Lonchura striata: one gene and its partner. Each later gene encodes a partner of the first gene's protein in a complex. Links are inferred from orthologs where the notes say so. Each region holds a gene or a part of one and is shown on either strand. Other genes may lie near its edges.

Region 1 (3,905 bases):
AGATTTCATTGGGATATTATATGCAGAACAGCTGTTTAGCAAAACAAATAATAACCGGGGAAGGGCATGGTCTAGAAGAAAAGCAAGTTTCCTGAAGACATGAAAGAACTACCTGGATTTCCTGGTCAAACACTTTGAATTAGGCTACAGCTACACAAGCTGCTAGTTTTCACTGCAGCTTTTAAAAATATCCTGGACTAAATCTGGAAAGATTAAAAACTAGTATAAACTATCAGCGCTGGTCATTCAACTATACAGTTTAAAACAAGGGAAGAATACTTCACATGCATCGGTCCTAAAATACAATCTAAATACAAGTTTAAACTTAAAACACCTCAAATTAATCTAATTCTGAAAAAAAAATTACCTTTGGAAAGTACTTGGACAGTCCCATGTAAGCAAGTTGTAGAGTAAGAAACGGTGCAAATATTGACTGAAGGAACAGAAAAGAATATATAAAAATTAACTTGGTCAGAATAGCTAAGAAACACAAAGATTTAATGCTTCCAAAGCAGAAAAGAAAATTATTAGGTAAAAATTAATTTGTGGAACAGAGCAAAGTTGTTCTTGAATACTAAAAATCTAAGTAGACAAGTTACATGCCAAAAATAAGGTTCTGCCTAATATTCATTGAGCCAAAAGAACTGAAATGGCAGAAGAGAACAGCAAAGTGCAAAACTGAGCCCAGGGATCCAGGAGCTGTATGGCTGCAGCTGCATCACACCTCTGTGCTTTTGTTCTCGCTGGCACTGGGAATACTGAGGAACTACTGATAAATGAGTATCTTGGTACAACTATTATTCTTAGAATCACAGAATTATTTGGGTTGAAAGTGGCCTGAAAAGCCATTTCATTCCAAACCCATGGGCAGGGATACTTTCTACAAGATCAGGCTGCTTCAAGCTTCATCTAACCTGGCCTTGGACACTTCCACAGATGAGAGCTCTATTCTTACTCTATTATTCTTTTGTAGACCCTAAACTCGAGGAGCAGCTGACTCATATGCTCACCAAGATAGGAATAAACATGCAGGGCATTTAAGCTGCAACAACTATTCCAGTGTTCCACAACAACACACACAACAGACCAAATGTGCTGCTCTCAGTGGTTACACAGTGGCTGTATTTGTAGCAGATAAATCTCATAGAATTCAGCATTTTTTTTTAGGTTTTATATAATTTTTGGAAATATAGAGTGCCTGAAGTTCCCAACTGGGTCGTTACCAATAGACTTCAGCCCCAGATATTTCCCAGTAACTTGCACCAAGCAGCAAGCCCCAGCAGGACTGTGTCCCTGAACTCACCAGGTACTTGCACACGAAAGCCCTGACCACGATGGCGAGCAGAGCACACCCCAGCAATCTGAAAATGCGGAAAGAGTCAAACTCCTCCGCCGCATTCCCGTTCTCCTGGCTCGGCTTCTCACTCATCAGCTGGTTCCTCAGCTTCAGAGCTTCATCAAACCTGGACAGGTACTGCTCCAAGCCATGTCTCGGTGGCCGTGGTGCAGCCTCAGAGGGCAGCTCTCCCCTGTGACGCTGACGGAGCTCGCCTGTCCCCTCGGTGACCAGCTCTGGGGCTTTACCAAACAAGTCCTTGTCCCCTCTGAGCTCTGCCATGCTGCCCGCATGCTCGGTCGAGCCTGTCACGTTACACATAGAATCACCAAGCACAATCCGCTTGGAAACTGAAGGAATGGAAAGGGAGTTTGATTTCTCTTGCTCGTGCTGAAGCTTTAATTCTGTGTGACCTTCATCATCTAAGGAAGAAAAATAAAAACAGAGTTACGCATGCTGTGTACATGGAACAACACTTCAGCTACACTGGGTCAGGATCCTGGGCCTCTGCTTCCCAAGAGAAAAGACACATTTATGATTAAAGAGGGCACTCTTCATGGAGCAGACACAAGACATAAAGCTGTGCAATGCAGGTCAGAAGTTGAGGCAATAGAGATATTAAAACACTGAGCTTCCTTAAGCAAGAGCACTGCACACACAAACAGAAAGATCCAAATACATGGACTGAAATTAAAAAAAAAAGACAAAGATTTGCAGAAAGTGACCCAACCAAAAGAGCACTAATACCTGACAAAGAAGCAGACAAGAGAAGTGCACTTTAGCTTGCTGTTCTACTGTCAGAGGCAGAGCAGTGTTAATCTGTTCTGTATGAAGCCTGAAGACCCATCTTACAGAGACAGAGGTGAAGGCAGAGAGCAAAAGGCAAATCAAGAGCATGTCTGGACCTACCACAGAGCAAGAACTAACACTTCAGGAATTCTTTTCAGTGTTAAGTCAGACTGATTCACAGCTCATGGGCATCCTTATAAACCAAAATCTGAGAATTTTTCCTGACAAGACAGCCCATTTGAAGAATGTACAGAGATATAAGTGCACTACCCAGTATATGGCTCTGCAAGAAAATTCTGCGTAACAACCACAAACATCTATGTCACTATCCAAATGTGAGATAACTTGGCTATAAAAAGCCAGCTATGAAAGGCAACAGCTACTGACTAAAAACATGGGGGAAGCTCATCGATTCTTCAACTAAAAAACCTACTTGCAGTGAAATGACAGCTTGTATGCTCGCTGTCTAGGGACCGTGCCGGGCCCAAGTCCCGACCTTTCCGGCGGCACAGGGATTTTTTGGGCGGGTCCCTGGCGGAGCAGGGCAGGTCGTGCTGTGGAAGCATCCCTGCGGACGGAGGCGGCACTGAGGGGAGCCAGCCGCTCCTGCTCACCAGGGCACCGCGGGCAGCGCTCACGGCCGGAGAGGCCGAGGCGTCACCGCAGCCCCGGAGCCCTCACACAGCCCCGCCGCACCCGCCACGGGGCTCACCCTTGCCCGCCGCAGGCCGGTGGAAGCCCATGATGCGGTTGATCCGCTCCTCCGAGTTCATGAGCAGCTTCCTGCGGCGCAGCTCTGCGCGGCGCTGGGAGGCCGAGAGCCCCGCGGGGGGCCCCGGCGGTGCGGCCGCCGCTCCCGGGCCGCCGTCCGCCATCCCCGGCACCGCAGGCCCGCCGCCGCGGGCCCGCCCCGCCCACCGCGCAGGCGCCGGCGCCGCCCGCCTCCAGCCGCTGAAGCGGGCGCCGCCATTTTGCGTAGGGGCAGGAGAAGGGCGGGGCGCGCTGGGAGAGCGCTCCGCGCGCCCCTCTCTGACGGCGCGGCGCCCGCACTCAAGATGGCTGCCGCGGCCTCAGGCGTGACGTCAGGGTGCGGGGGTGGGAAAGGGCGATGGTGGCGCTGAGGGGAGGCGGTGACGGGGACACACACGGGACAGCCCCGAGTCTGGCACGGCACCGCCGCGGGGCTGGCGGTGCACGCCGAGGACACACCAACAGACAAGCACCGCTCGAGGACGCCAGAGCTACTGGCATTATCGAACAGGGAGCGTATTGACTTCTTTGCTGTAAGATCCAGTTGGCCTAATATCCATCTTTATGGCCACCGAAAATCCGGCAACACCTCTCCTTGTGTGCCAGGTAATAAAACTGCCACGTTACCCTGACCAGCCCATGACACATAGGGCTCCCATCAGCACCACTGTCCTGGCACCGAAAAGCTGCAGTGCCCTGCTCGGAGGCGCTGCCATGGGAGCGGGACTCGCCTCCAGAGCCCGGCAACCCAAAGCCACGGCCAGGACAAACCCGCTGCCAGGACAAACCCACGGCCAGGACAAACCCACGGCCAGGACAAACCCACGGCCAGGACAGGTGCCCACTGCCAGGACAAACCCACGGCCAGGACAAAGCCCACGGCCAGGACAAACCCACTGCCAGGACAAACCCACGGCCAGGACAGGTGCCCACTGCCAGGACAAACCCGCTGCCAGGACAAACCCACGGCCAGGACAAACCCACTGCCAGGACAAACCCCACGGCCAGGACAAACCCACTGCCAGGACAA
Region 2 (3,905 bases), on another chromosome or scaffold:
TCCTGGAGCCTCCTCTGGGCTCTCTGCAGCAGCTCCAGCTCCTCCTGTGCAGGGGGAGCCCTGAGTGACCAGCTATGGGCCAAAAAACCAGGAGAGAATTGTAACATTACTGAGGATTTGGGTTAAGTTGTATCCATAACAAAATATTTACTTACCTGCAATATGTAGAATACAATATTTATGACCCACTTTATTTTGGCTAGTTGGGCAGTTCGTGCTTTCACTGTTAAAGAAAAAAAATATTAGTTTGCATTATTTATAATAATGAATTATTATTGCATTAAATTAATAATTTTTTAATATTTCCCTCTTTAAGGCTGGACATTACCCTGTTTGAAAATATCTCTAAAAGATTTCTAACCATATTAAAAACACCCTTCTACAACAAACTGCCAGCTCTATATCACACTGTAATTTCTATCTTGACTTACTCAAAAGAGGATTCAGTGATGGGCATCACTAAGAATAAATAATTATACAGAGAAGGAAGAGAGGAGAGGAGAGGAGAGGAGAGGAGAGGAGAGGAGAGGAGAGGAGAGGAGAGGAGAGGAGAGGAGAGGAGAGGAGAGGAGAGGAGAGGAGAGGAGAGGAGAGGAGAGGAGAGGAGAGGAGAGGAGAGGACTGAAAATGGGTGAGATGGGGAAGGTAAGTTTGAAGGATAAATACTTAAAGCTGAAAACAGTCCTGACAGCTTTTCAGAAACAGAAAATGTTTTTCCTTTTGGAACAGGGAGCAGACATGGAACTGTACCGTGGGTTTTGAGCTTGTCAGTCATTTTGTTAATCTTCCTCTCCAGCCGGGCATATCTGGCAAACTCATCCATCATACTGATGGTGGCAAGCTCCTGCTTCATGGTCTGGATCTCAGCTCTCATCTGGGATTCCTGCTCTGCATCCTTCTGTAACAGCCTGGATATCTAAGAAGTGAAGGAAGTGACCAATTACTGATGCAGAATCCCACTGATTTGCTTTAGTCTGTATAAAGTATGATCTCAAAAGCCTCCCATCAAAAAGGCCCTTTCATTGAGATGCAGGAAATCCTTGGGCAACAAGCGAACAAGTGACAAGATGAGAGTAAACAGCCTCAAGCTGGACTCAACGATCTTGAAGGGTTTTTTCCACTTTAAACGATTCTGTGATCATTCCCATTTCCAGCTCCAGCAGCCAAGTATTCCAATATTTTCTCCCTTCCTTTTACTTTCCTAATTTCTTTTATTGAGGCACTACCTGCTTGTTGGCTTGTGAACTGTTTGCCATAGAAATGCAGGCACAAAGAACATAAAATCTTTTTCTTGCTGTTCCTTAGCAAATCTTCCCCAAGACACATGTAATTTATTTCCCCAGGGATGCTATTCTCAGGCCTACAGACAGTGAGAGCATTTACACCATCTTCAGCCTCAAACCACAGCAGAAAGCTGAGCAGACATCTTCAGAGAATCTTAGAATATCCTGAGTTGGAAGGGACCCACAAGGAATTGAGTCCCACTCCTGGCCCTGCCCAGACTCCCAACAATCCCACCTGGGCATCCCTGGCAGCGCTGCCCAAAGGCTCCTGCAGCTCTGGCAGCCTCGGGGCCGTGCCCATTCCCTGCGCAGTGCCAGCACCTCTGGGGAAGAACCTTTCCCTAAAACCCACCCTAAATCTGCCCTGGCCCCCTGGCCCAGTTCCAGTCCTCCCTGGGTGCTGTCCCTGTGCCAGAGATCAGAGCTGTCCCTCGGGAGCAGCTGCAGATCCCAGCCTCAGCCTCCTCCAGACTGAACGAACCAAACGCCCTCAGCCTCTCCTCCTATGGCTGTTTCATCACTCTTCTCTAGCAGCACCGAGTTCAGCTTCCCAAATTGCTGAGGGTGATTTAAGGTTTAAAGGATTTTTGTCCATTTTTGAACAGTGCACACTGATCTCTGTGCCAGTGAAGTTATTTCTGTGGTAGAGCAGAGCGACAGGGATTTCAGCATCTTTGTACACACGTGAGTTGATCTGGCAGCCACAGCATTTATTTGTCCTCAAATCCATTATCCACGCTGGCACAGGAATGCTTCAGATCAGCTCAGGGGCACCCTGATCAGTGGCTAAGATTATAAAGATTTATTCCTACATTGACTTAATTCCTTAATATCCATATCCACTGATCTCCCACCTCAACAATGGGCATCTGTTGAAAACATGCAAGACTGAGCAAAGCTGTATTTCCCATACCAAAACTGGGGAGCTGTGGATGCCCCATCCCTGGAGGAGTCCAGGAGCAGACTGGACGGGGCTCTGAGCAGCCAAGCCCGCTGGTGGGGGGCTGGAAGCGGATCATCCTTAAGGCTCCTTGCAGCCCAAACCATCCCGCGATGCACCCAAGGGCTGCAGGCTCAGGAGCACCACTGACCTCACTTCTGTGACACTGTGACACTGGAAGCGGGGCTGCGGGAGCCACCCAGCCAGCAGCATCAGCTTCTCTGCAAGCCCAGCAGCAGCACCAGGCCCTGCCCGTCCCAGCCCGGCGCTGACAGAACCCCCTCAGCGCCCCGCCGGCATCCTGGGGTGCCCTCACTGCCTTCCCCGGCAGCGGCATCACTCACCAGCGAGGAGCAGGAGGGCAGGAGGATCTTGAGCGCGTTGCAGAGCAGCACGGCGCTGAGCACCAGCAGCCAGGCGCCGCTGTCGGCCGCAGTGCCGCCGTCGGCCATGGCCGCGGCCCCGCCCGCGGCGGGCGGCGCGGGGCGGGCCGATGGCGCGGCGCGCCCCGATCCGGCTGGATCCTGTTGCGGCGCCGCTGGCGCTGCTGGGATGGGGAGGGGGGCGGCTCCGCTGCGCAGCCGGGCTGGGGCTCGCAGGCGGCCGCGCTCGCAGCAGCCGCGCCACACCGGCAGCCGCCGCCGCGGGGGTCGCGGCCGGGAGCCTCGAGATGCCGAAGAGGAAGGTGAAGGCGAGCGGCGGCAGCGGCGACGGGCGGGAGGCGAGCGGGCTCGGCGGGGAGCGGCCGCGCCGCGGGCGCCGGTGCGGGGCCGGGCGGTGCCGGCGGCTGGCCCTTGTGCCGGGGAGGGGGCCGGGGCCGTGGGGGGCTCGGCGAGGCTGGCGGAGCGGGAGGGGGCGGCCGGGGCCGGGGCCGCCCCGCCCCGCTGACGCCGAGTGTGTGTTGCAGGTGACGGTGGCGGACGGGGACGCCCCCGAGGAGGTAAGGAGAGGGCAGGGCGGCGGGGCTGCCCCGGCCCGCCCGCCCCTCACGCCCTTCTCTCTCTCTCGCTTTCTTTCTCTTTCTCTCCCTGTGTCTGCGTGTGTCTCCCCCCGCAGCCCAAGCGGCGGTCGGCGCGGCTCTCCGCGGTAAGTGAGCGCCGAGCGGCGGGGCCCTGCCGGGATGGGTCCCCGAGGGCTGGGTCCCCGCCTGACTTGTTCTCTCTCCTCAGAAACCCGCGCCTGCCAAAGCGGAGCCGAAACCCAAAAAGTTACCGGCAAAGGTGAGAGGGAATTGGAAGAGGGAAGGGAGTGCTTGGGGGCATCCCGCGTGGTGTCCTCCGTGCACCGTGCTGGAATGGTTTGGTTCCTTGTGGGAACGCTCCCTTGCCATGTTTTGATCAGCTTTTGCCAGTATTTACAGGTACATTCCGTCGCGGTGGCTGTAGATTCTTGTTAAGCTCCAGGCATTGCATGGAAGCGTGGGCACGGATCCATGCGTGTTACATTGTGCTTTGGTATTGGGTGGAACTACCTGACTGTCAAAACAACTGTGCGTTAGGACATCAGGAGGAATTTCTTCACAGAAAGGCTGGTCAGGCACTGGAAAAGCTGCCCAGGGAGGTGGTGCAGTCACCATCCCTGGACGTGTCCAAGGGTAGGCTGGGATGTTGTTTGCTCTGCTGTGGTTGACAGGGCAGTGCTCTGTTAAAGTTGGACCGGAGTATCTCGGAGGACTTCTCCAA

Evidence for each region.
Region 2: CAMLG (region 1) and GET1 share a complex: the UniProt entries of both Homo sapiens proteins name them as parts of the golgi to ER traffic (GET) complex. The link is inferred for Lonchura striata from reciprocal best matches to the Homo sapiens genes CAMLG and GET1.

Annotation. Positions count from the first base shown.
Region 1 is NC_134617.1:9,338,121-9,342,025, forward strand, and holds the start of CAMLG (guided entry of tail-anchored proteins factor CAMLG), read right to left. Parts: upstream 3,007-3,905; 5' UTR 3,001-3,006; coding exon 2,838-3,000; intron 1,759-2,837; coding exon 1,304-1,758; intron 434-1,303; coding exon 368-433; intron 1-367. UniProt on the Homo sapiens protein: Required for the post-translational delivery of tail-anchored (TA) proteins to the endoplasmic reticulum.
Region 2 is NC_134604.1:113,858,085-113,861,989, forward strand, and holds the start of GET1 (guided entry of tail-anchored proteins factor 1), read right to left. Parts: upstream 2,702-3,905; 5' UTR 2,676-2,701; coding exon 2,568-2,675; intron 917-2,567; coding exon 751-916; intron 224-750; coding exon 156-223; intron 1-155. Other genes in the region: HMGN1 (non-histone chromosomal protein HMG-14), read left to right, coding at 2,894-2,908, 3,131-3,163, 3,280-3,309, 3,393-3,443. UniProt on the Homo sapiens protein: Required for the post-translational delivery of tail-anchored (TA) proteins to the endoplasmic reticulum (ER).